Linked DNA regions of Sus scrofa. The protein of the gene in region 6 interacts with the protein of the main gene of each other region in a pairwise test. Links are inferred from orthologs where the notes say so. Each region holds a gene or a part of one and is shown on either strand. Other genes may lie near its edges.

Region 1 (4,245 bases), on a different chromosome or scaffold from region 6:
ATAGAAATAAAGGGAACCAGCAGGAACGGAGAATTAGGTTACTTTTTCTGGGCCTTTGGTTAGAGAGTCCTCCAGATGGAGTTGAAGGAAGTGCCAGTTAAGAGTTGGTGGGCTCCAGTCAGAACACCTGAGTGTGCCCTCATGTGGATCAGTGATGGTCAGATGGCTTGCACCCCGTCTAAACATATTGCCATATTTATTTTTTTAATTTTTTTATTTAAAAAATTTTTTTTTGTCTTTTTGCCGTTTCTGGGGCAGCTCCCATGGCATGTGGAGGTTCCCAGGCTAGGGATCCAATCAGAGCTGTAGCTGCTGGCCTACACCAGAACCACAGCAACACCAGATCTGGGCCGCGTCTGCAACCTTCACCACGGCCCACGGCAACGGCGGATCCCCAACCCACTGAGCAAGGCCAGGGACTGAACCCGCAACCTCGTGGTTCCTAGTCGGATTCGTTAACCACTGAGCCACGACGGGAACTCCAACATACTGCCATATTTAAATAATAGACATTCATATAGGTGCATATATATATTTACACGTAACCTGAAAGGACAAATATCAGTTTTGACACTGGCAGCCTCCAGGAAGGGAATGGGAATTGTGGAAAAGGCAGAGGGAGGAAGATTGAGGACTTGTATTTTTTTCTCCGTATTTCTATACTGTCTGACTTTTTCATAGAGAGAACATATTCATGTGGCGTTCTTTTGTGGTTGCAGTGGGTTAAGGGTCCAGCACTGTCACTGCAATGGCTTGGGGTGCTGATGTGGTGCAGGTTCAATCCCGGGCCCCAGGAACTTCCACGTGCCAGGGGCACAGCACACACACCCCTCCCCCCAAAAAAGAAAGAAAACAAGTTCATGTGCTGAGTAGAAAGAATTAAACAGAAGATCTGATTACAAAAAAAAAAAAAAAAAAAAGAGAGAGAGAGAGAGAGAGAGAAAATGAAGAAAAGTTACCTGCAGAAACTGCCTGCGATCCAAGACCTGGCTCCTTGGTGCCTGGCTAAAGCCCCAACGCACAAAGAGACAACTGGGTTAAAGTTCCTGGAGAAAAGAGGAAGTGAGGTGTTTGGTATCTGTATCACATCTGCCAGGCCCACAGGGTGAGACACCTGGCAGGCAGTTAGTTCCCATTGGAATGGGAGCTGATCCTCTTTTCTGGCCCGCTGCTTCAGGGCTGGAGAAGTTCAACAAGTGCATGGAACATCAGAGACCTGGAAATGCTGAATTTGCTCTGAGGTTTCTTGAGGCCCTGTCGGCTTCTCTGAGTAGCCTCCAGGCTCAGGAGCCCTGCCCGGGCCCTCAATGCCCTCCTGGCCTGTGCTTCTCAGTCTCCAGCCACCCGCTTTCTTCCTGAGTGGTGGCCTTTCCCAAGCCTGCGTCCCAGCCCCGCCCCTCTCTCTGGACGCATCTCTGGGCCCCATCATCACCCGGCGCCGGGCCCTCCCTCCCGCCCCCCCTTTCTCCTCCCTCCTTCCTTCCCTCCCTTCCTCCCTCTCTCCCTCCCTCCTAGCTCCTGCACCAGGAAACGGCCCGGATCCCGGCAGCGGCCTGACCCGTGAGATCCTTAACCTGGCAGGCAGGCGGGGTTGCAGACTGGCTGAGGGTGGGGGTGAGGGAGGAGCTGGGCCTTTGGGCTGCACTCGGGGGGAGCCAGGAGTAGAGATGGTGTCGGCAGGAAGCCCTTGGCCCTGGGTTTCCCGGGAGGACAGTCATTAAACATGGATTCGGCCACACAGCTGGTAGAGCGTTGGGGGCAGGGCCCTTGTCCCGGGAGCTGCAACCCCAGCCCTTCTCAGCCCGGACCCTGATCCCTGGTCTTTCCCATCTAGCTCTGATCTCCCCCTCCCCTTCCCAGGGCTCCACGCTGGGCAAGAGGATGAAAGGCCCCAGCTGGGGGCTCCTTGCCACCAGCGCTGGGTCCTAAGAGCTGCCATCCAGGCTGGGTGAGTGTCCCCTTCCTTCTCTGTCCTGGGCAACCCTTGGCTTCTCCTTCTTTCCCTTCAGCCCTGTCTCCTCCCCCATCTTGTGCCTCTGTCAGCATCTTCACATCAGGCCTCTGGGGAGGCCCTAAGCCCCTTCCTCTAGCCAAAAAGGTGTATACCGTGGAGAGGGGGCTTGTAGGGATGTCACAGCCCTGCTGTTGTCTTCTTATGGAAAGAATCTAAAAAAGTATTTTAATAATGAAATTTACTTGTTTTACCTTTAATTTGGCATATTATGAGTTTTAAGGGCCAGGCCCTCATGCCCTGACCCCTCACCATGGCTTAATTTCCTTGTTCTTACCTCTCCCAGGCCAGTGGTCTCTGAGATTTCCTCCCCGCTCTCTCCCTGTCTCACTGGGCTGGCCAAACCTGAAATGCCCCCTTCTGAGTCTCTGACCCTATAATCATGCCAGTGTCTTTTGTGTTTGACTCTGACAGCCGCCCGGATGGCGACCCCGGCCTCAGCCCCAGACACACGGGCTCTAGTGGCAGACTTTGTGGGCTATAAGCTGAGGCAGAAGGGTTATGTCTGTGGAGCTGGCCCCGGGGAGGGCCCAGCAGCTGACCCGCTGCACCAAGCCATGCGGGCAGCTGGAGATGAGTTCGAGACCCGCTTCCGGCGCACCTTCTCAGATTTGGCAGCTCAGTTGCATGTGACCCCGGGCTCGGCCCAGCAGCGCTTCACCCAGGTCTCTGATGAACTCTTCCAAGGAGGCCCCAACTGGGGCCGCCTTGTGGCCTTCTTTGTCTTCGGAGCTGCACTGTGTGCTGAGAGTGTCAATAAGGAGATGGAGCCACTCGTGGGACAAGTGCAGGAGTGGATGGTGACCTACCTGGAGACACGGCTGGCCGACTGGATCCACAGCAGTGGGGGCTGGGTAAGAAGCTTCTCAATTGCTGTTCTGCACATCCCTCCAAAAAGCTGGTCTCCAGGGAGAAGATGGGGGCTCTGGCTGGAGCTGGGGGCAGCTGTGCTGAGAATGAGATGTGAGGTCTGAGTCTCCCTATTTGGGTGGAATGGAATGCCCTTGTCTGGGCATCATTGGACTCTGCCCTCCAGGGCTGCCATGCAGTCATCACTGGGTGGGCTCAGGGTCCAAAGCAGAGTACAGAATACCCAGTAGCCAGGTAGTGCCTGCAGGGAAAAGGCATCCAACTGTCAGGAACCTTTTATACCTGAGTGTATGGCATGGGGGGAGGGGGGTCAGGGATCAGGGATGGGTGGTGGTCAGGCGAGCCTTGGCAAAGGAGGCCCGTTCTGAGCAGAGTTTTTGGCCAGGGAAAGGATGGGATTAGCTTGAGGTAGAGAAGGACAAATGAGCCAGGCGCTCATGGGGGATCAGAGGGGCTGGCAGCCAGTAGAGCTTTGGCTGGAGAGGAGCTAGGGGTGGGGTAGTGCTTGCAGTGGATGGAACTGGAACTCTTCCTCTCCTCTTTTCTCCACTCTTTCCTCTCCTGATATCCCTTTCTCCTTCTTTCTCTCCTACTTCCCTTCTCTCCCACAGGCGGAGTTCACAGCTCTATACGGGGACGGGGCCCTGGAGGAGGCGCGGCGTCTGCGGGAGGGGAACTGGGCCTCAGTGAGGACAGTGCTGACGGGGGCCGTGGCACTGGGGGCCCTGGTAACTGTAGGGGCCTTTTTTGCTAGCAAGTGAGAAAGTCCAGGGCCAGGTGGGGCTAGGTGTGGCTGGGGGACAGGAGAGCAGGAACAGAGCAGAGGAATGCCCTTGGAAGAAGCGGGGGGTATGGAGGGGCATGGAACGGGGATGGGAAGGGGCAGGGTAGCGTGTGAGGGAGCGGAGCATGCCAGGCAGGCGGTTGAGAGAGTGAGCTGGAGACATTGTGGAATGTATTTGGAAAGTCTGGGGGCCAGGAGATGGAGTCATTCCAGGGTCAGGGGGAGGTGGGAGGGATCATGCCTATAGGTGTAGGTACAGAAAACTACCTGGAGCTTGATTTGCAGCCCCGAGGCAGCCCCGAGGCAGGTGGACTTGCTTAAGGGGTTGGCGATTTCCACTGAATGAGCGAGATTTGGGGAAAACACTGAGGGCACATCCCTTTGGCATGGGAGCTTGAGGTTTTCAGGGGATAGGGAGAGGGCTGTGACCGTGGGCACTGGGGACACAAGTGTGCATGTGCACGCGTGCTCGTGTGCATGCTGGGCTGCTTGTCTAATCTGGTGGTGGTGGGACTCCTCTAGGAGAAAACATTCCCTCTTGCGGTGGCAAGAACAAGGTGTGCAGCTCTCTGTCCCTCCC
Region 2 (4,160 bases), about 81 Mb from region 6:
TGAGCCTCCAGATGACTCTGGGCCCAGCCACCATCTGACTGCAACCACGCAAGACCCCAAGAAGGACCACCTAGTTGAGCCCAGTCAACCACTGGACCATGAAAGATAATACCAAATTATTGTTTTAAGCCACTAAGTTTTAGGGTGTTTGTCACATGGCAACAGCTAACCTGCATACCTAGAAAAAGCTTTTAAAGCCTGACACCCCCACTCCCACAGCCCCCTCACAACAAAAGCAACACCAGCCAGGCACATTTTCAGTCCCTTTAATTAGGTGCTCTGAGAGAAGGGCAGAATGGCAGACAGGAGATAAAGAAAGAGGTGCTTCTTAAGCCTCTCTCGGCCCCAGGTCAGTCCTCATCCTCCGGCAGCTGGATCTTGTTGGGGTCGAAGCAGTTGGATTCCATGAGGGGGAGGCCGTTGGCCTCTCGGTATTTCACGAGCCTCTCAGCTTCCCGGCGGGCCCACTCCTGCATCCTGGAGGCAGCAGCGTGGGGGTAGACTTGAGGGAGCCTCCATGGACACCAATCCCCATCTTAGCTCCCATTGCTGCACAGGGACAGGATTCCTGACAGTCTCTTTAAAGCTCCACCCCTGCCTCTGCCCCCACCCACCCCACTCTCTTGGACACCCCATGCACCTGTAGTCAGGCAGATAAGCCACAAAGGTGCTGCCAAGGACCAAGACGATGGAGAAGCCAAAGAAGAAGACGACCCGCATGTTCCAGAGGTCCACAATGGGGTCCTTGTCATAACCGTGGGAATCTGGGTTCTGAGGCAAAGAGAAGAAGAGGTCAATGAAGGCTTCCTGCCACTCCACAAAGCAGTATAACCCGATCTCCAATTTCACCTTGGACCAAGCTCCTCCCTCCCTTCCTAAATTCCTCTCTATTCTTAGGATTTGTCAAGCTCCTTCCCACCACAGGGCCTTTGCACTTGCTCTTTCCTCTGCTGGGAAAGCTTTTCCCGCCGACCTAGCTGTGGCTGGATCTGCCTCCTCAATCAAGGTTTTGGCTTCATCATCGCTCCCCTCAGGAGGCATTTCCTAGTCACCTTGTCTATTAAGTTGAGCTAGAGCAAACTGACATTTTTAACAGGTCAAAAATTATTGAATATTGGCAATTTCCTATGGCTCAAACTAATAAAATAACTCCCTACCCCAAGTCACTATCCATTCACTTATCTTGCTTAACAGTCTTTCTAGCATTTACTTGTTTGCCAAAGCAGTATAGCCCCCAAATCCTCTGATCACATTATCTTATATTATTGATTGCATACTTTATATCACTGGGTTTTTTTTCTTTTTTATCTTTTTGCCTTTTCTAGGGCCGCTCCCACGGCATGTGGAGGCTCCCAGGCTAGGGGTCCAATCAGAGCTGTAGCTGCTGGTCTACACCACAGCCACAGCAACTTGGGATCCGAGCCACGTCTTCGACCTACACCACAGCCCACAGCAACACCGGATCCTTAACCCACTGAGTAAGGCCAAGGATCGAACCTGCACCCTCATGGTTCCTAGTCGGATTCGTTAACCACTGAGCCACGACAGGAATTCCTCTATATCACTGTTTTCTAATATTCTATACATTTATTTTCCCTGTTCTCTGCTATCATGTATGCTCTGTGAAAGCAAGGGCTTTATCTAACTCCCATGTGGCTGAATCCCTAGCACCCTGAACTTAGCCTGGCACACAGCAGGCCTTCAATACATATTTACAGAATTAATATATAAATGAATAAGCATCCTACAGAGCCAAGCTCCTCAACCAAAGGTTAGTATTGATGAAGCATCTATCACGTGCCAGGCCTTTTCACAAGCACAAACTGCACAATATCCTGGTAAGGTGGAAAGTGGCAAGAATAATTAACAGCTTCTAATGGTGAGTACTTAATAAGTGCCAATTGCTGTTCTGAGCACTCTGACTCATTTAATTACACGAGGCAGGTGTAATATTTTATTTTTTAGAAAGTGTCCTAATACTTTCCCCATCTTTCAAAGAAACTGAAGCACCAAGGGGTTAAGCTACTCGCCCAAGGTCACATATGTAAGTAACTATCAGGGCCTGTATTCCAACTCAGGCATTCTGATTTCAGTCTCTGCTAACAGGATAGCACAGCAGACCTGATTCTGCCACACATTCAGTTAAGTGAGCTTGGAGGAGTCACTTAACACCTTCATGCTTCAGTTTCCTCATCTGCAGAATGGGTATATTAATAGTACCTACCTCGAAATAGGGCTGTTTTGAGGATTAAATAAGTTAATATTATAAAGTGTTTCGAACACCTGAGCAAGGACCGTATCAGTGTTTAATATTATTGCTGTTATGGTATACTGCTCATTTCAGGTTTGATATCTGTCTGGAAAATAAGGTCAGTCTCGCCTCTGGCCCTGAACCGAAGGTTATCAGGGGACAAAGGAGGAAAAGGAGCTAGAAAGAACTCCCAAATCTTTGAGGATTTTGCCAGCTGCGCAATCCTCAGCCGACTAAGTACGTCCTCTACGGCGCCCCGTCCGCAGGTCCCCGATTGACCCTTGCGGCGTCCCGTTTCCCCTCCCTCTCACCTTCTCATAGAGGTTTTCGTCCTCCGGATCTGGGTCCTCCTGCAAGCGTATAGTCGGTTCCGGCGGCCGCTTTCCCACCAGAGCGGACGGGGCGATCACAGCCCTGGAGGAGCCGGACTCCCAGCGAACACGGGCAGCCGGGAGCCCTCGCGTCGCCGCTGCTGCTAAAAGGCGGCGAGCGCACAAACCTAACACCCCGGCCGCCATGACAGCTCGTTCTGCAGGCTCGCGGGGGCGGGGACGGAAATGTGACTCTGCGCAGCTGCAGTTGGGCCTGAGCGCGAGAATTGTCGCTCCGCCCCCGCCGCACTAAATAGGTCCCGAGTTGGGATTTTGTTTTCAAACGTCCTCTTTCCCTCCCTCTGTCATGGCCTCACGGGAGCAACCAGCTTCCTATCTTCTCGGTCAGGCTGTGGAATTTCTGGCCGAAAAGGCTGCTTATTTTCTTGACGAGAAGAAAACGGTGACACTTGGGTGGATGCAGTCCCCAACCAATCTCGAGGAGAGTTCCCGTGCCCTTTGGCGAGAGGGGCGGAGCTTCCGCTGGTCTTTCATCTTCCTAGGAAGCCGAGCTTCTAAAAAGCGGGCCTCGCCGGATTGGCCAATAGCTACTCTTTTTCTCGACTTGCGGGCGTTCGCACGGGGAGCGGGGTGGTGGCATGCGCTTGCCAATCAGAGCAGGCCAGGGCTGGCCCACGAAGGACGGCGACCAATAGACGGGGCCGGCCAGAGCGCGCTCCCTTAGTAGGTGGATGGTGGTCGAAGCGCCGGCTCCCTTCTCGTCGTCGCCATTTTGTGCTGGTGATCGCGGCCGGCTGGGAGTAGGCGGCAGTGAGTTGCCCGGGGAGGGCAGCGCGCCTGGGCGCTCCTTCCCTCCCCAGTCCTCCGCCCTTCCGCATTCAGCCTCGGACTGGGTCGTTGCGCGGACCGGCTCCGGCTGAGCTGGGAGAGTTGGAGGAGGTGGCGGCGGGCCGAGGTGATGTCCGGGAGCCCTCCCTTGACAGCCCGGGCCGAGAAGGTGAGCGTCGACGCTGGTCGTGGGGGCGGAGGTAAGGGACCGGGGGCGGGGGTGGGGGGGGGAACGCGTAGAGGAGGCGCGAGGGCGAACTGCGGGCGGCAGGTTTGGGTTTTCGTGCAGAACCCCCGATGCTCACACGGTCTGTGCTCGGGAGGGGGTGTCTTTTTTTGTTGTTGTTTTTTGTTTTTCTCCTTTTGAGAGCAGAGGCGCGTGCGCGATTGGGACACAGGATGGGTGCACGCGGGTTGGGGGAAGGGAGGGACGGATGGGAGTGGGTTACTGTGGCTTAGTGTGTCTGCGACGCCGAACTTTATCCGTGGGAGGCGAGTGTCTGCGACTTTGGTTTTTATCTATAGGAAGTGTGCTGTCTGCTCTCCTGTGTGACTTTGGTACTTACCTATCCACGGGGAAGTGTTTGGTGGCTCTGGTCCTTATTCTTGAGTGGGGGAGGAGGGAGAACGTATGACTGGGGTCTCTATCCTCGGATCGTGTGTCCGTAACCCTGGTCCTTATCCATGGGGAGGGGTCCTTATCCCAGAAAGTCTTCTTACAACTGGCCCTAATCCACTTACTGGGTGGG
Region 3 (2,915 bases), on a different chromosome or scaffold from region 6:
CTGAGCAAGGCCAGGGATCAAACCCACAACCTCATGGCTCCTAGTCAGATTCGTTTCTGCTGCACCACAATGGGAACTCGAACTTAGCACTTTTTTTTTTTATAAGGACCACGCATGCACCTGCCATCAAGTAAAGAAACGGATTTCTACCAGCCCCTCTGAAGCCCCTCCTCCTCACCCAATCACAACCCTCAGTATCCTCCCTCCCAACCCCGTCCCTCACGCACAAGTAAATACTACTTTCACTTGATGGGACTCAGATGTTATCACCTAAGTATATTTCCCTAAACAATAGTTTAACTTTTCCTGTCTTGAAAGTTTCTCTTTCAAAGTCTTTGATCCTGCTTCTTTCTTTCAATGTTACTTTTACAAGATCCCTCCACCTCGCTGCCCAGAGCTGTGCTCTGCATTCCATGAATAAACCACCACAGCTGAACTCCATCCTATTGTGATGGTTGTTGGACTGCCTGGCAGCGTTGAGCTGTTGTGAACAGCACTGCTTGAATATTCCTGTATGTGTCACCTGAACACAATTCCTAAGTTTCCTCAGGGTTTGGATCTGGGAATGGAGCTGCTGGATCATAATGTGTTCATTATTGCTCAATATGACTGGATCTCGGGTGAGACTTGCTCTTTCCCACATCCTAGTCAACATTCAGTGTCCTCTTTCACCTTTTGGTTCTGTTCCCAAAATAAATTCTTCTTCCAAAATCGGCCCCTCCAGGTAGTGGGTCTCACCCACCCAAGTGGCTTGTAAGAGCAACCATGCCCACGTGCAGCCCCCGCTGTGAGCACACTCACCAGAGGGTGATGAGCAGTCCCCCAGTGAGAAAGCCCAAACCTCAGATGTATTCTGGTTGATTTAACACAAACAAGTCACTTTGGGGCTGTGGCACGTTATTATTGAAAAGTAAAAACGAACTGTGCCACACCTCTGCTGTGACTGTGTCGTACTTGTGTGTTCTGACGCCCTGGTTGGCTGTGATCTATTTTCTTAGTGGCTTTGAACACGAATGTGCCGACCTTCTCTTCGGCCCAAAGCCATGACCTGCCGGCATCTGTCTCTACCAAGGCTTGTCCCTCACAAATACCCCCAAGGGCCAAAGCGAACAATGGCTAAAACTCCCCCAGTCAAACGGTCCAGAGGCAGGGGTTGCCCTCCGGCCGCGTTACTCACCGTCATGCTCTCTCTGGCGCCCCACAGGGTTGGACCAGCCGACCTGCAGGCGGCCCGCAGCCCTGTCCTCCAGCGCAGCCTCCCGCCACCCTGGCCGGTCAGGACCATGTTTCCCTTCAAGGTGAGCAAATGGATGGGGCTTGCCTGCTTCCGCTCCCTGGCGGCGTCCTCGTCCAGCCTTCGCCGGAAGAAACTGATCCACAAGCTGCAGGAAGAAAAGGCGTTTCGGGAAGAGATGAAACACTTCCGTGAGAAAATCGAAGACTTCAGGGAAGAGATGTGGACTTTCCGAGGCAAGATCTGCACTTTCAGGGGCCAGATCTTGGGCTTTTGGGAAGAGGAGAGAACTTTCTGGGAAGAGGAGAAAACCTTCTGGAAAGAGGAAAGAGCCTTCTGGGAAATGGAGAAATCGTTCCGAGAAGAAGAGAAAGCCTTTTGGAAAAAGTACCGAATCTTCTGGAAGGAAGATAAGGCCTTCTGGAAAGAGGACAACGCCTTATGGGAACGAGACCGCAACCTTCTTCAGGAGGACAAGGCCCTGTGGGAGGAAGAAAGGGCCCTGTGGGTCGAGGAGAGGGCCCTTCTGGAGGAGGAGAAGGCGCTCTGGGAGGATAAAAAGTCCCTCTGGGAGGAAGAGAACGCGCTCTGGCAGGAGGAGAAGGCCTTCTGGGTGGAGGGCGGCGGCCAAGTTGCCGAGGAGCAGATGCTGGAAGGTGGCCACCACGGAGGCCGCCGGTCGCCAGCCTTCCCCCGGCGCAGGGCGTGAGCGCAGGAGCCGAAGGGCCGCGGGGTCCACGCACCGCTGGATCGGGACTCGCCTCCCGGGTCACTCCGTGTGCCCAGGAGAATATGCTCTTATTTGACTCCTGCCTTCAAAAGATCTAATAAAGTCCTGAGGAGCGGTTTGCAAAGCCAGCATCTTTAAGGAGGGCCAGCTGCATTTCCCCCCAGGTTGAGTGATTCTCCGAGGTCGTAATCCCACCCTCCAGGCTGTATTGCGGTCTGCAGGGCTTGGTCCGGCATGTGTGGGCGGGTGTTGGCGGGAGACCCTGGGCTCTCTTGAAAAGGGTCCGAAAGGGGGTGGGGGTGAGGGTGGGGAGGCTCAGACTCTGCCAGCCAGAGCCCTCTCTGCCTGTCAGGCTGTGGGCAATCCTTTCCCCTCCACTGGGCAGTCTGGAAGGTCTGGAGGGGGTTGACAGCTTTCCAGAAAAGGCTGCAGTGCTGCTAACAATTCATCTGCGGGCGATGCTCACCTGGCAGCTCTTTAGAACACAGAGGCAGCATCCCCGAAGGGCCACTTGCTCCCGAATCTGTCTCCAGGCTTCCCCCAAACTTCGAAAGCTCGGCTCTGTAACATGAGAAAGGGGCGTGGCAGGAGGCTGAGGCTCTAGAGCTCCGCCCACAAAGCGCTGCCTTCCCCAATGATGGAGGCCTGTGGACCAGGCAGGGCCTTCTGGGAGGTGGAAGGGAGGCCTCCCTGCCCGCTACCCCCATTCGCACTTGCTTTTTTGCACTATCAGTTCCTTCCTTTGTGTTTCCTTCTTCCCATTCATTTAAAATTAAAGTGGCCCATGGAGGCAGTACATTAAATGAATGTATGCTAATGTGCCCAGCTTCTCTTCTGGGCTGAGACCATCTACATGGACATTGGTGGGAAGAGCTCACGGGTGGGCAGTGGGAACTGCCAAGGCCAACACCTGCTTCTCCTTTTGGGGGCCTGGCCCTCACTGTCATTAAC
Region 4 (3,500 bases), on a different chromosome or scaffold from region 6:
AGCCCAGACCACTCCAGGGCTCCCAGCCCCAGGGACTGCCCGGTACCCTCACCTGTGTGCTCTGCAGCTGCTGTTCTGCACTCATTTTCTCCTCCAGCACTTTCTGCAGTGACTCCTTGGCCTTCTGCTCATAGCTGTGTTTCTGGTCTTCCATCTCTAATATCACCTTCTTCATTCCCCTGGGGGAGTAGTTCTGCAAATGTGATTCAATTCAACAAATACACATTGAGCGTCTGTGTGCCAAACCCTGAGCAGGGATGCAGAAGGGAAAAGAAGTCAGTCCTTGCCCACAGGGCAGAGATGCTGGTAACCTGGTGGCCCTTCTCCCAGGTTGGAGGTGGGCAGGGAGAGCCCCTCAGGTGATGTGAGAGGTGAGGGGGGATAACAAACTGCCCTGGGCACGCTGGGCATCGGCCCTGGGCATCGGCCCCTAGGCCTTCCCTAGGGTCCTGAAAGTCAGTATTCCAGAGGGAAATCACCTTTCTTTTCTTTTTTTTGGAGGGGGGGGAGGTGTTGGTTTTAGGGCCACACCAGAGGCAAATGGAGGTTCCCAGGCTAGGGGTTGAATGGGAACTACAGCCGCTGGTCTGTGCCACAGCCACAGCAATACAGGATCCAAGCTGTGTCTGTGACCTACATCACAGCTCATGGCAACCCCGGATCCTCAACCCACTGATCGAGGCCGGGGATTGAACCTGCGTCCTCATGGATACTAGTTGGGATTTGTTTCCTGGGCACTCCAGGGAAATGGTCTTTCTAAACCTGCTCCCGTCTCAGTGACCAGCATCATCACCTAGTCTCCCACACCCTAAACCAGGGAATCATCCGTGATTTCTCTCCAAGGAATCAGTTGGCCATTGAGCTTTGTGGACCTCCTGAACAGCACACGCCTCTCTCTCTCTCCTTCTGCCTCCTTAGTCGGACGCGAATAACAGTATCCTATGGATTGTATAGTCTCCCTATTTCAGGCCGTGCTTCTATCAAACCCTTCTCAGTCTGCAGCTAGAGCATTCTCTCTAAAACTCAAATTGGATCCTGTCACAACCTGCTTAAACCTCTCAGTGTCTTAAGGATCAGGTCCAAACTCCTTGGTACAGCTCCTACTTAAAGCCCAGACTTTGATTCCACGGGGCCATCACCCCAGCACTGTGCTTTTCAGCCTCTGCCTTTGCCCATAGAGCTGCTTCTCCCTAGGGCATCCTGACCCTTTCACCAGGGTAAAAGATACAGCCCGAGAATCACATAAATTCTGATAAATATGGTTAACCACATGATCCCTCAACTCTTTTTTTTTTTTTTGGTTGCCCCACAGCATATGGAGCTCCCGGGCCAGAGATGAGATCTGAGCAGCAGTTGCGACCTAAGCCAGGTCCTTAATCCACTGTGCTGGGCCAGGGATTGAACCCACGTCCCCACGCTCCCAAGACACCACACTGATCCCATTGTGCCACAAGGGGAGCTCCATATCCCCCAACTCTTTATGGATTAGACAGTGTTGCAAGGTATCCCCTGCCCATCTCTATCTTTCTAATATACTGACTCACCCGTCTCTTTTAAGGGATTGTAAACTCCTTTCAGGCAGGGAGTGTTTTTTTAAAAATAAAATTATATGTATAGCTTCATGGATCCGAACAAGCTTCAGCAAACTCAGTTTTAAAAAATTAATACACTTGCATTTTTAGAATTTCTCCTGGCTTCAAGATAAAAAATAAAAAATATACAAGAGCAACTTTGCAAATTCCCTGGAGTTCTCACCCTTCCCATGCTTTTCATTTTTTCCCCTGTGGTTTGGGGGAAAGCACGAAGCTTTTACCATCGATTTCCCGACTGGTTAAGAGATAGTCTAACTAATGCACATTTAGGGACCAATGTGGAATCGTTTCCTTTTAGCTTTGGAACCATCTGAAAATTTGGATTTAAATGTTGAGTCGGTCTTATGTCCCAGGAACTCTCATTAGAAATCAGAAACAGGAGTTACTGGTTGAGACCATACATGGCATGTCTAAGTTATTGGATTTAACCATGCTGGTCACTGGCCAGCCGTATCCCCCGTAGAAAATGAGTGGACTGGCATTCTGGATTATACGTCGGTCTCTTATGAGTCTGGTTGGCATTATTTGGTCATAAGAGTCTGACAAAGTCGGTCATGACGGAAAAAAGGAGTTGTGAGTCAGCAAACCCACAGATTATATAAATTACGTAATCAGCAAAATTTGTACTACGTGGCCGCTTTACCTCCCTGACATCAAGTAGGAGCAGTCTGGCAGGTCCACCTCATTCTCTCTCTCTCTCCTTTTTTTTTTTTTTTTTTCTTTTTGTCCTTTTTGGGCTGTGCCTGCGGCATATGGAGGCTAGGAGTCTAACCGGAGCTGTAGCTACGGCCTACACCACAGCCACAGCAACGCTGGGTCCGGGCCTCATCTGCAACCTGCGCCACAGCTCATGGCAACGCCGGATCCTTAACCCACTGAGCAAGGCCAGGGATCAAACCCACAACCTCATGGTTACTAGTTGGATTCGTTTTCACTGCACCACGATGGGAACTCCTCATTCTCTTATTTGATGTTTCTCCTCACCTGTCAGAAATCCATCACTTCTTGAGTGTAAAAGCTGACTTCCTTCCATTTCATATAATTCGAGATCAGGCCAAGCAAGAGATTCCCAGAGCTGGATAACAACACCTCAGAGGAGCTAGGAGGCACAGTCTCTTACTTTCTCCCAGGAATTGCTGCCAGGTAAATGTTGCCCATGGGGAGTTCCTGTCATGGCGCAGCAGAAACAAATCCGACTAGGAACCATGAGGTTGTGGGTTCGATCCCTGGCCTTGCTCAGTGGGTTACGGATCTGGCATTGCCGTGAGCTGTGGTGTAGGTTGCAGACATGGCTTGGATCCTGTGTTGCTGTGGCTGTGGTGTAGGCTGGCAGCTGTAGCTCCAATTAGACCCCTAGCTGGGAACCTCCATGTGCTGTGGGTGTGGCCCTAAAAAGCCAAAAAAAAAAAAAAAAAAAAAAGTTGCTCATGGGATGAAAGTCATTTTGCGAGTCCTCATTGTAATATCTAACTCATCTGTTCAAAAACTGGGACCGGTGAAGTTCTCTCCAGGTGGGCTGACTCTTTGCCAAGGGCTTCTCCCTGCGTTCCCAGGAATTCTCAATGTTCCCCTGGAGCTGGCAGAGTGCTTGGTGCTGGGCTTCCTTTTTTCAAGGTGCAAAGGGAAAGACATGGGGAGAAAGGCGGGGGAGGATGGAGATCGTGTTTGGTAAATTGGAGGCTAAAGTGAAAAATGATGAAGCCAGGTTCGGGTGGGTAGGAATAGGTGCATTAATTCCTAGTAGCGACATTTCTAGAGAGTAGGATTGAGGTTCAAATGTTCTCTCCTATTTAATTCTCGTTTCCTGAGCTAGATGTGTCCTTCAGAATGCTTACCTGGGTACAGGTGTACAGCTGGTTTTCTAAGGATCTCAGTTTGCCCTTCAATTTGTCTTCATTAAGCTGGCCC
Region 5 (3,500 bases), on a different chromosome or scaffold from region 6:
TGTTGTCAGGATTAAAACAGTTAATTCAGGAGTTCCCATCATGGCTCAGTGGTTAACGAATACAACTAGGAACCATGAAGTTGCAGGTTCAATCCCTGGCCTTGCTCAGTGGGTTAGGGATCTGGTGTTGCCATGAGCTGTGGTGTAGGTCACAGACACAGTTCAGATCCCACGTTGCTGTGGCTCTGGTGTAGGCCAGCAGCTAGCTCCAATTAGACCCCTAGCCTGGGAACCTTCATATGCCATGGGAGCGGCCCTAGAAAAGGCAAAAAGACGGAGTTCCTGTCGTGGCTCAGTGGTTAACAAATCTGACTAGGAACCATGAGGTTGCGGGTTTGATCCCTGGCTTTGCTCAGTGGGTTAAGAATCCGGCGTTGCCGTGAGCTGTGGTGTAGGTTGCAGATGCGGCTCGGATCCTGCGTTGCTGTGGCTGTTGTATAGGCCGGCGGCTACAACTTCGATTAGACCCCTAGCCTGGGAACCTCCATATGCTGCAGGAGCAGCCCAAGAAATGGCAAAAAGACAAAAAAAAAAAAAAAAAAAACCACAGTTAATTCATGCAAACTTGGAAAAATAAAACACAAGAGCTCAATAAATGTTAGATATTATTACTATTATTTTAATAAGTTTGGGGTTTTTTTTGTAAGAGCTCAATAAATGTTAGATATTATTACTATTATTTTAATAAGTTTGGGTTTTGTTTTTTTTGGGTTTTTTTTTTTTTTTTGTCTTTTTGCCTTTTCTAGGGCTGCACCTGCAGCATATTGATGTTCCCAGGCTAGAGGTCTAATCGAGCTGTAGCTGCCAGCCTTTGGCAGAGACGCAGCAACGTGGGATCCGAGCTGCGTCTGCAGCCTACACCACAGCTGACAGCAACACTGGATCCCCAACCCACCAAGCGAGGCCAGGAATTGAACCCGCAACATCATGGTTCCTAGTTGGATTCATTGGCCACTGAGCGACGATGGGAACTCCAATAAATAAGTTTTAAAGAGGTGGTATTTTCTTCAGTTTCCAGTTGAGAGGTTTCCCCATCCTAACAGCCTTTTAAAGTTTCCCCATCCTAATAGCCTCTAATTTTTAAAAGGGTGGTCAGATTTCCAGGAGTATTTCCAAAATTCTTAAGGCAGTGGAAATAGAGTACTTGCAGTTTGAAGACAAAAAAAAAAGTATTTCTAACTATGATGAGCATAAATAATTCCAGCTACTCATAGTTGGAATTATAGGATATCTACTGGCTACTAACAAATAAGTAAAATCAAGAAAGTAAAACCTAGATTGTGCATTTTTAAACCCCCAAAAGACCTTACTGAATATCTGATGCATTGCTCAAAAATTACTCTTTGAAGGAATGAAGGAATGAGATAGGTACAGATTGAACATGAAGAGAAAGTTGTGTTTGGCACAGTCATCCTGGCTTGTTTATTTGCAACCATTCCTCCATTTTCTAATTCAAACCCTACCCCTTGAGTTTCTTCATTCCGAATTTCCTTACAGATAATGAAATAGCTGTAGAGACTGTATTTTTTGCCTGTTCATTTATACCTATATCTCATTCCAGAAACACTTTCACATGGCTTACAGAGACATATGAAACTCAAGATGAAATTAATTAAAGATGAAGACAACAATAGAAAATGCAGGAAGGGCATAAAAGCAAAAATAGGAGTAGGGTTAAAATACCCAGGATAGTAAAAAAGAAAGAAAGAAAAAAACCTTTGAGGAGATAACAGGTTGGCCCTACATTTTCTAAAGCCAATGTAAAATGGTCAGTTGATGAGTTACATAATTGGCAATGGCCCCTGGATAAAAAAAGACCAATTGCTCAGAAGATTCAGCCCCTTTTAGCTGTGGACCTTCTAGAACATTCTCACAAAAGACACAGTAACAAATCATTCACAACAACAATATTAAAGCATAAGAGTTCCTTCAGTGTAGATCAAGAGATCTTGATGAAAAATAATTGAATCATAGCATGAGGGGAGACTCACAGAGGAAGTGAGATGTGACACTGCCTTAGGTAGGAAAGAAACAGATGCCAAATTTTCTATGTGAGGTATTGATCATTTAAAATAAAAGAGAGGTCTGTTTCTGTTGGTATGTCAAATTTATTATTTTCCTTTCCAAGTCAGTGTTTTTATTATTCTGGGTAAACAGTATGCAGCATTTTTATAGTTGTCAAACATAAATACAGTAAATCTGAAAAATTGTCCTATGCTAGAACATGGTCTGCTGAAGTCTTGGGTGTGGGTGACTCCCACCCCCACCCCCAGTCTCTGAGTCACAAGGAAGGATATGAGAAGTAGCCCCTCATCACCAGAAGCATAGTAAGCATTCATTATTGTTGCTATTATTTATTTTCTAGAAATATTAAAAAAAATCACAAAACTTTTTTATTCGCTTTTCAGCATGGTTCCAGTGCTATGGGATCTTGGACTTTTCCAAAAAGCAAACCAAAGAGTTGTACAAATGCATCTATTTGTTTCTAGAATTCACATTTCTCTTCCTGTCTTATCTCTTTCTGTAGGACTTTATCGTCACTGTAGTCTTTTCATTCTTGTGGTTGGTGGGTTCCTCAGCTTGGGCGAAAGGGCTGTCTGACGTCAAGGTTGCTACAGATCCCAAAGAAGTGTTGTTACTGATGTCAGCTTGCAAACAACCGTCCAACAAGTGCACAGCCGTCCACAGCCCTGTGATGTCCAGCCTGAACACTTCCGTGGTACGTTGCCCTCTACATTTCACCTCCCAAATCTTTTTTTTTTTTTTTAAGGCCACCCCTGTGGCACATGGATGTTCCCAGACTAGGGGTTGAATCAGAGCTACAGCTGCCAGCCTACACCATAGCTGCAGCAATGCCAGATCTGAGTCACATCTGCAAATATGCCACAGCTTGAGGCAGCACTGGACCCTTAAACCACTGAGTGATGCCAGGGATCAAACCCTCATCCTCACAGACACTATGTTGGTTTCTTAATCTGCTGAGCCACAGTGGGAACTCCAACCTCCCAAATCTTTGTTTGCCAATGAAGGGAATCAGAAAAACATCTCAAGAGTCATCTTGGAAATTTTTGCCTCTGAAACTGTGCCCATCTAAGAGGTGACAGTTCACTCTCTGTGCAAGACAGTCCCTGGGCCTTCCAGTTTTCTATTGTCAGAACCCATAGACTTAAATGCTGCCAATTACAGAGTTCTTAATAAGAGCCCAGCAGGTACTGGCAGCTGTTGCTTGGATGACAGTCAAGTCAGAATTCTAAGCCAGAAGCAGATACATAATCTGAACTTTAAGGCTGAAATCTGCCAGAAGTTAAAAGGAATATTTGATGGCATAGAAGTTTCCTGGGAAGAAAACATTGTTCAAGCCACGCATAGGTAAAATACACCCAGTTGGCTGTCTGGAGAAAAATACTTGGACCCAGTAGTGTACAGAAAGAAATGCCGAGTATAAAAAATACGTATAATAGTTATGGTAATTTTTTTAATATTCTCCATGCTCCTGGTTT
Region 6 (4,219 bases):
AAAAAAAAAAAAAAAAAAATTGTGGTTTATTTGAGATTCCAAATCAATTGGCATCCCCAGCCTGCCAGAAACCCACAGCTCCTGCATCCCAGGCTCCTAGGTCCTGCAGAGTGCACTTCTCTGTTCGTAAGGTGGCCTCCAGGAGGCTTGGATTTCATCGTAGCTGCTCTGTTGGAGCCGGGAGGCACTTCTCCAGGGCCCTCAGGAATGCAGGCAGGGCCTTTGTCCGCTCCGACCTGATCCTATCTGATCCAGAGAGCTTGCTCCCCACGCTGGACAGATGGGGCTGGGGAGGGGGTCAGGCAGCCCAGGTCTTGCCACCCTCTCTAAACGAGTCTGGCCCCTCCCTTTCCTCTCCCTGCCCTTTCCTTCCTCCCTTCCTCTCCCCCTCCCCTCTTCCTCCTTGGAGCTCGCTGGGTTTCTTTAACAAGATAGCCTCCTCTTCCCCCAGGGGCTTGGGGGCTCATCGTTGGTGGTTGCGTCAGGCAGGGGTCTCCAGAGAAATGGAGGCAATAGGATACATATATGTGTATGTGTGTGTACATATGCATGTGGGTGTGAGTGTCTGGAAAATTTTATCTTAAGAAATTTGCTCATGCCATTGTGAGGCTAGCAAGGCCAAAATATGCAGGGCAGTTCAGCGCATTGGAATCTTCAGGGTGGATGCTGCAGTCTTGAGCAGAATTAATTCTCTGGGAGACCTCTTTTCTCTTAAGGTCTTCAACTGATTGGACGAGGCCTACCCACACCATCGAGGATTAGGCCCATCTTTTACTTCAAGCCCGCTGATTGTAGGTATGGACAACAGCTACAAAAGACTTTGATAGCAACACATAGACTAGTGCTTGATGGAATAACTGGGCTCTAGGGGCTGTAGGCAGGTCCCTACTCTCTTGCCTTCCCTCCTTTGGCCCTAAGGGTTCCTGTGCAGTCTGACCCAGGGCCTCAAAAGGCCATCTGCCCTGCCTGGGAACTCTGGACTGGAGGGGAGGCAGGGCATGCTCTACAGAAGATGCCTTCTGAGGGGGGTGGATTACTGGCCAGAGACGGCCTTGCAGGAGCCATGACAGACCCGGGATGTAACTTTGCTTTGGCCAAAAACTGGCTCTGGGGTACTGACCCCCCCCCCACCTCTTTCTAGAATTGATGCAGCGTGGAGCCTGCCCGTGCCCCTGTGGGACCAAATTGGGTGGCCCAAGAACCAGGGAGGTTCTCACAGACAAATGTTCCAAGCCTTATCTCTTCCCCTAAGTTACTTACAGAGTAGCAGGGAACAAAGCCTCGAACCCAGCCAGCAAGATACAGCAGGAACAGGAGGTGCTGGGTCCAAGGCCTGAGTGCAGAGGGGGAGTCTGGCTCCACCCCCATGTCCAGATATATCCTTGAGCTCCCACCCGTCAAAGAGCTGATTTTCCCAGAGCGTCCTCCGTGCTCTGCTCTCTGTGCATCCTTGGCCACCGCTTACAAGTGAAGAGCTGGCTGTGATGGCAGGAGGCTCCACTAACACCAAGAAGATAGAAATGTCCTTGGCTGAAGAGCTGGTTCCTAAAAGCCAGGAGCCTAGCCGCGAGCAAGTGCTGATAGCAGGTGAGGAGCCCCTGAAATGGACCTTCCCTTGAGTGCCTGCACCTGTGTGTGTGTGTGTGTGTGTGTGTGTATGTGTGTGTGTGTGAGTGTGTGTGTGGGAAACTGTGCATGAGTGGCTTGGCAGATACTCATATCTGCATGTATGTTGATGCATGGATTGGGGGTACGTGTGTGGGTGGCCTTGGTTCACGTACACATATATTTCTGGCTTGAGTGACAGGGGAGTTGGAGAGAAAGGGATTGATGATATGAGGGAGGTGTCTATTGCAAAACATTCCCAAGGCTCAGTTTACAAGATCAATCAAATGATTTCTCTCTCCTAACTCTCCAATACCTTCTCCTGCCTTTTAGAGTAAAATCCAAAGTCTTTACCATGATCTACAAGATCTGATCAAGGTCACCTCCTCCATGTATTTCCTGCTGTTTCCTGCCTATGTGGCCTGCTGGCCTACTGTACATCCCAAGATTGTTTCTGCCTCACAGCCCTTGTGCTATAGCTGTTCCATATACCTTGCAGGCTTCTCTAGATTTTTCAGGGATGGACTCTTTCAGGTCTGTGTCGTAGTGTTGTTCCTGACTTTTCTAGACGTAGCCCCTTCTTTCTGTCTTGTTTTTATTGATCTGAATCTACATGGACAGAGTATTTTCTGCCACCCTCATTCTCCCTAGAAATACACGGTCAGTCTCCTGATTGCTGTCATCTTATCTCCTGGCCGTTGTCCTCTCTTTAGTCATGTAGCCCAGAGCTTTATGCTCGGTAAATACCTGCTACATCTTGAATGGATGAAGAAACTGAGACATGGGTTTGGCCAGTGGATATCAGTGAATGGGTGTTTGGTGATTCCTGAGAAGTTCTTGTCCCTTTTCCGGTGTGTCCTGTGCCCATGAAGCTTTGGTATAGCTGTATGTGTGTTCCTGGGACCTCCATTTTTCTCCCTAGAAATGTTGGAGCATGGAATCCGGTCCCTGGGTGCTTCTCAGAGCCGTCAGAAGTTGGATTCAAAGATTTCCGATTCTGCTGCAGCTTGGAATTTGGCTGCCAACAAGTCCAAGAAAACGGTACTATATGGGGACCTTGGTACATGGTTGGGTTTGAGAGTAGCAGCTATAGGGGATCTAAGTCTGAAGATGGTGAGGTCAAGCAAGGCCAGATGTTGAATTAGGGGTGAGAGAGGAAGCTCCTGTGCAGTAGGCAGGGAAATGAGGGCCACATGGTCCAACAAGAGGTCAGGACTATTTATTGTTAGGCTAGGAATTCAGTATTGAAAGTACAGAATGCTGAATTACACATTGCTTGGGGAGTACACATATACCGTATTCTGTGCAACTCTAAAGTGTGTGAAATAACACTTTCTTTTATTAATAAATAAATACATCTGTATTTATCACCACATATGTATATCTATATATCTGTATTTTCCCAATATATCTTATATTTTGTTTTTATTCCTGTATATAAATGCATTTCTATGTAGAAGTATATAAAATATAAAAATATATAAGCATATACAAATGAGATATACGTACAAATAAACATATGTACATCTGTATATCTTAGGGATGGGACAAGACTCAGGCAAGTGAGATTGCTATGCTCCATGGCCATTAGGAAATCCAGTCATTTGCATCTGAGCAGTTTGTAGCCAATTCTTTAAGCTACACTCCATATGAGTGAGGGAATGTTCTCGAAAAAATGGTGCTTCTACTGTTGCAAAGGATACTGGGAAAAGGCAGCCATTTTGGAGCAGCTCTAGGGAATGAAGTGAGTCCTTGAGTGCCATCATTTTGTAGCCAGTCCTTTCAGCTACATTCACCTCCGGTGGGGGAAAGCTTTAGAAATATGGTGGCTATATTGTTGCAAAAGTTACTTGGAAAAGGCAACCAGGTTGCAGAAGAGGACAACCGGCCTGTTGATGGGGATCATGTGAGTCTCATGCTCTGTAGCCAATCCTTTAAGCTACTTTCACTGTAGTTGAGTGAAAGTTTTAGAAACCTGATTTTTAGACTCTGGAAATGGTTACTGAGGGAAGGCAACCTGGTTGGAGAGGGAGGGAGGCTTGATGTTCTAGAAAATCACCTGAGTCCCATTGTTCTGCAGTGCATCTTAAGCCTCGTTCACCTTCTGAGGAAACGTTCTAGGAAAAATGGTGGCCATTTTAGGGAGGGGGACGCGTGACTCCTCTAGAAAAATCACTGGAGTCCTTGTTGTTTGGCTGATTCTGCCAGCTGCATTCACCTTGGATGAGGGCAATTTTTAGAAACACGACTGTTAAACTGTTGCAAATGCTATCCGGCAAAGGCGGCCCCATTGGGGAGGAAGGAGATCTGAGTCTTCTAGGGAATGGGGTATAATAAATACGGAACTGATTCCAGCCACAAATGAATAAAGATAAAAAGAAGTCCCAGGTCACAGACCTTTGGGAATGAAAAGAAGCCATAAACGTTGAATTGGCTTCAGGTGTTCAAAGGCTGAAGCCACATCAAGTGGCTCCACTAGCTCAGGCTTCAGTAAGCTACGCATGCCCTGAAACTGAGGTGGGATGGGATTGGGGAGGGGCGGTTGAGGGAATTAGTTCATCTCTGATGAATTAATATTACCTCTTCAAACCAAAGGAGTACACTTTTAACAAAT
Region 7 (3,500 bases), on a different chromosome or scaffold from region 6:
CAGGAGCCCCTGTGAGGGGCTGAGGACGGCCCCGCCCGCCCCCAGTCCCCGTTTCAGAGGACCCCAAAGCCAGACCCACACGACTCGATGACCCTGCAAACGGCGCAAACAGATCACAAACGTGTGCACCTGCACAGCTCACCTGAGCGCTGTTCTTTTCTCCAACACTGTGTGCGTCTGTCTCAGAAGCTCTGTTCGTGTCCTGCGGCGTCTGCGAGCGAGGCGGGCTGAGCAGAATGACCACAGGACAGAGCGCGCGTTAACCTTCCCCCACGAGAGCAGCCCCCCAGGCCAGGCCAGAGCCGTCCCCAGCACGGGGGCCAGGCCGGAGCGAGCGACCCTCTGTCTTGGAGGAGCTCGGAGGCCGGGCCGTCAGCCCCGAAGCAGGGACCCCACGGACAGCCTGCAGGCACTGCCCCCGCCAGGGTCTGAGGAGGCTGGAAAGGAAGCTCGGGGCTGCGACGGCAGCGACCCAGCAGCTCGCGCTGAGACGCCCGCCTTCCCGCCCACCTGTCGCAGTGAGAGCTCTTGGAGCTGCTCCGTCCAGATTCGTGCTGGGCATCGAGCAGTATCTTCTCCATGTCGCCGTTATAAATAGAAACGGAGTCTGGAACGCTGCTCCCGCTCCCGTTACTGCCAAAGTGCAATTCTACCCAGGAGCCTGATGGGGACAAAAAGAGGGACACGGCTGCAATTTCCTACCCCCAACCAGCGCACCCCTTCCACGCCCAAGACTCCCAGGGAACCGGCCCTGAGCCGGGCAGGAAGACCGTCAGGCCGGCTCCCGTCAGATCGCGGGAGCCGGCCCCGCCTCGCCCTTCCGGGGACCCAAGCGCCCCTGGGGAGAGGGACCCCGCGCGTGCAGCCCCACTGCCCCCAGACGCACTTCGGCGGCTCCAGGGCGCTCGCCGCTCACGGCGGGAGGAAGGCGGGTCAGCGAAATCCTCGGGATTTGCGAGTGAAGGAGAGAGGTTGAAACTGTCACCTGTCACCGACCCCCACCTCCCAGCGTCCCGCTCTGACCTCGAGGCGCTGTCGCGAGCCTCAGAGGCCAGATAAACACACAGCGAATGCAACAGGCGACTGCTGCCGACCCCTGCCGCCAACCCCTGCCAGAGCCGCACGGGCAGTGTCTCCACGGCCAGTCACCAGCGCTCTTCCTCGCCCGAACCGGACCTGACCTCGTTAGAGCCCCACGCAGATGGACCTTTCCAGATGGCACAGGAACAGAGCGCCAAGGTCCCCTGCCCACCTGCGCAGCCCATCCACAGCTTCCGCCCCCGACGCTACCAGCCGGCAGAGCCCCGCCAGCCCCACCACCCGCAGGCCCGGAGGAGCCCCGGGGACACGCGGCTGGGAACGGGGGCGAGTGCCAGGGCTGCGGGCTGGCTCTGCCTCGGCTGCCCGGGGCGACAGCCCTGGACTCCAGGAGGCTCTGAGGGGCCTCACACGCAGATGCAGGGCCCGGCGTGTGGGGCCCACAAGCCCACCGCCTCCGAGGCTGCGGGGCCAACAGGCGCGTCTGGGGGCCGCGCACTTGGTCTCTAAGGGCTGCGGCGGCAGCTTGTGCGCTTTCTCTGCGTGTCTGATCTCGAGTGAGGTTGCGCCGGCCTTCCCGGGATGCTGGCCCCGGGGGCACTTTGCGGAGCTCGCTGCTGGCGTCTGCTCCCTTGCTCTGCGCGGTCCACCCTCCCTCCAGCTCAACACTCCGCCGCCAGGCCTTGCATCAGGCAACGCGTTCTCCTGGGTCTGCCGTCCGGGGTCTTGAGGTGGACGTGACCGATCCGAGTTCCAACGTGCAGCCTCCCGCTCGCCTGAGGTTGTGTCTCGCGCACGATGCACGGGCCTGGACGTGGCCCTGCACGAGTGAGCTGGACGCGGCTGGGATAGTCCCTGTGGCTCTGTGGCCAGGCCAGAGCCCCCTGCGTCCCCCCCTCCCATCCTGCTGCTTATCAGTCAAGCTGGCTGCGCACGGGTCTCCGGGGCCCAGGTCCCCGTGGTGTCGCACGGGGCAGGGGTCGTCGTTAAGAGCACGGAGCCAGCCGGACTCTACCGACAACCGTCACCAGAGCACGGCAGCCACCACGGGCCACCAGGCGTCAGGCCCCATCCATCTGACGGAGCCTGGCCTGCAGCCCGCCCGCAACAGCAGGGGAGCGAATCCAAGCTCCAGGAATACAGCGCGAACGGCCGCCCACTTGGCCGCTAAGAGAACCGTCCATTCCAGGCCATGCGCCCTCGGCTCAGCCTCCAGTGGTTCCGTCCACCGGGCCCGCAGCAGGCGAGCCAGGCTTTGTCTGGGAGCCCAGGACCCACTGGACCAAGGCCCAGGCAGCCCGGCCCTCCGCGTCGGCCGAAGCTGCAGGAAGGACGCCAGGTCTCCCGTCCGCCAAGGACGCTGCCCGCCGTGACGCAGGCCCGGGAGCCCCAGGCCCCGCTGAGAAAGAGGCTCGGGTGTCAGAGCCCTTCCCGCAGGAAGGTGACACCCAGCCAGCCGGCCCGCTCTCCCCATGCGTGGACAGGACCGCGGGGCGCTGCTCCGGGCAGGGTTCCTTTTCTAGGTTCTGCCTTAGGCGCGGGGCCTGGCTGCCAGGTCACGTCCCCTTACGGTGGCTGACGTTGCGAGTTGTGACACAGCGTCTGACGTGACAGTGTCTACACCAACCACCAATGTTCCAACACCCGCTAGCTGTCCAGTGTCCATCCTGACACTACCTGGAGTGCAGACGGTAGACGTCTACCTAGATGGCCCCGAGGGGACACCCAGGCCGCCCGCACTGCCGCCTGGTGGACCGCCAGCTCCCCCCTCCCCCAAGGAACTCACTGGAACAACTCACAGAACCCGGAAAACTGCTTACCCGGCCCCATCCCAGAAAGAACACGACACAGGAACAGCAGCTGGGGCGAGGGTGGGGGGCTTCGGAGCCACGGGCCTCCTTCAAACCTTTTCTCACCCAGTCTCTAGGCTGCCCCCAGGTGGGTGCCCAGTGTCCACCCTCATCTTTGGTCTCTCCCGCCCCCGCCTGAGGCTACCTAGGCCCCCGTCACCCCGTTAGCACGGGCCCCGGTGTCTTCCAAAGGAGCTGCTGGCAGAAGGCGCGCTAGTAACTCTCAGCTGCTCCTGCGGCTCAAGGAAGTCCACCGGTGCCGGGGCTGAGCTCGGGGCCCGGAACCGGGGACAGCGATTCAATACAGGTGTTTCTCAACTGAAATACAAAATACGGGAGTTCCCATCATGGCTCAGTGGTTAACACACCCGACTAGGAGCCATGAGGACACGGGTTCGAGCCCTGGCCTCGCTCAGTGGGTTAAGGATCCGGCGTTGCCATGAGCTGTGGTGGAGGTCGGCAGCTACAGCTGATTTGACCCCTAGCCTGGGAACCTCCATATGCCTCGGGGTGCGGCCCTAAAAAGACCAAAAATAAATTAAATAAGTAAACATCAAGAAATACAAACTTCTCAGTTTCAGGAGTGTCTGTTTATTACACCGGCAGGGTCTG

What was found.
Region 1: the proteins of FATE1 (region 6) and bcl-2-like protein 2 interact in binary tests that used the Homo sapiens proteins (3 or more experiments, as listed by UniProt). The two-hybrid records come from large-scale screens. The link is inferred for Sus scrofa from reciprocal best matches to the Homo sapiens genes FATE1 and BCL2L2.
Region 2: the proteins of FATE1 (region 6) and NDUFB11 interact in binary tests that used the Homo sapiens proteins (3 or more experiments, as listed by UniProt). The two-hybrid records come from large-scale screens. The link is inferred for Sus scrofa from reciprocal best matches to the Homo sapiens genes FATE1 and NDUFB11.
Region 3: the proteins of FATE1 (region 6) and CCDC70 interact in binary tests that used the Homo sapiens proteins (3 or more experiments, as listed by UniProt). The two-hybrid records come from large-scale screens. The link is inferred for Sus scrofa from reciprocal best matches to the Homo sapiens genes FATE1 and CCDC70.
Region 4: the proteins of FATE1 (region 6) and TRAF3IP3 interact in binary tests that used the Homo sapiens proteins (3 or more experiments, as listed by UniProt). The two-hybrid records come from large-scale screens. The link is inferred for Sus scrofa from reciprocal best matches to the Homo sapiens genes FATE1 and TRAF3IP3.
Region 5: the proteins of FATE1 (region 6) and SYNPR interact in binary tests that used the Homo sapiens proteins (3 or more experiments, as listed by UniProt). The link is inferred for Sus scrofa from reciprocal best matches to the Homo sapiens genes FATE1 and SYNPR.
Region 7: the proteins of FATE1 (region 6) and BNIP3 interact in binary tests that used the Homo sapiens proteins (3 or more experiments, as listed by UniProt). The two-hybrid records come from large-scale screens. The link is inferred for Sus scrofa from reciprocal best matches to the Homo sapiens genes FATE1 and BNIP3.

Annotation. Positions count from the first base shown.
Region 1 is NC_010449.5:75,767,944-75,772,188, reverse strand, and holds the start of bcl-2-like protein 2, read left to right. Parts: upstream 1-1,445; 5' UTR 1,446-1,560; exon of another isoform or gene 1,561-1,581; intron 1,582-1,834; exon of another isoform or gene 1,835-1,860; 5' UTR 1,861-1,948; intron 1,949-2,425; 5' UTR 2,426-2,433; coding exon 2,434-2,865; intron 2,866-3,492; coding exon 3,493-3,642; 3' UTR 3,643-4,245. UniProt on the Homo sapiens protein: Promotes cell survival. Blocks dexamethasone-induced apoptosis. Mediates survival of postmitotic Sertoli cells by suppressing death-promoting activity of BAX.
Region 2 is NC_010461.5:41,770,679-41,774,838, forward strand, and holds NDUFB11 (NADH dehydrogenase [ubiquinone] 1 beta subcomplex subunit 11, mitochondrial), read right to left. Parts: upstream 2,801-4,160; 5' UTR 2,770-2,800; coding exon 2,563-2,769; exon of another isoform or gene 2,554-2,562; intron 772-2,553; coding exon 448-771; coding exon of another isoform or gene 351-447; 3' UTR 251-350; downstream 1-250. Other genes in the region: RBM10 (RNA-binding protein 10), read left to right, coding at 3,542-3,611. UniProt on the Homo sapiens protein: Accessory subunit of the mitochondrial membrane respiratory chain NADH dehydrogenase (Complex I), that is believed not to be involved in catalysis. Complex I functions in the transfer of electrons from NADH to the respiratory chain.
Region 3 is NC_010453.5:15,976,314-15,979,228, reverse strand, and holds CCDC70 (coiled-coil domain-containing protein 70), read left to right. Parts: upstream 1-1,178; 5' UTR 1,179-1,181; coding exon 1,182-1,943; 3' UTR 1,944-2,415; downstream 2,416-2,915.
Region 4 is NC_010451.4:133,197,209-133,200,708, forward strand, and holds part of TRAF3IP3 (TRAF3-interacting JNK-activating modulator), read right to left. Parts: exon of another isoform or gene 3,500-3,500; coding exon 3,428-3,499; intron 248-3,427; exon of another isoform or gene 194-247; coding exon 53-193; intron 1-52. UniProt on the Homo sapiens protein: Adapter protein that plays essential roles in both innate and adaptive immunity. Plays a crucial role in the regulation of thymocyte development.
Region 5 is NC_010455.5:45,155,732-45,159,231, forward strand, and holds part of SYNPR (synaptoporin), read left to right. Parts: intron 1-2,527; coding exon 2,528-2,719; intron 2,720-3,500. UniProt on the Homo sapiens protein: Intrinsic membrane protein of small synaptic vesicles. Probable vesicular channel protein.
Region 6 is NC_010461.5:123,104,667-123,108,885, forward strand, and holds the start of FATE1 (fetal and adult testis-expressed transcript protein homolog), read left to right. Parts: upstream 1-1,419; 5' UTR 1,420-1,484; coding exon 1,485-1,587; intron 1,588-2,527; coding exon 2,528-2,646; intron 2,647-4,219. UniProt on the Homo sapiens protein: Involved in the regulation of endoplasmic reticulum (ER)-mitochondria coupling. Negatively regulates the ER-mitochondria distance and Ca(2+) transfer from ER to mitochondria possibly implicating it in the regulation of apoptosis.
Region 7 is NC_010456.5:140,365,452-140,368,951, forward strand, and holds part of BNIP3 (BCL2/adenovirus E1B 19 kDa protein-interacting protein 3), read right to left. Parts: intron 662-3,500; coding exon 511-661; intron 228-510; coding exon 143-227; intron 1-142. UniProt on the Homo sapiens protein: Apoptosis-inducing protein that can overcome BCL2 suppression. May play a role in repartitioning calcium between the two major intracellular calcium stores in association with BCL2.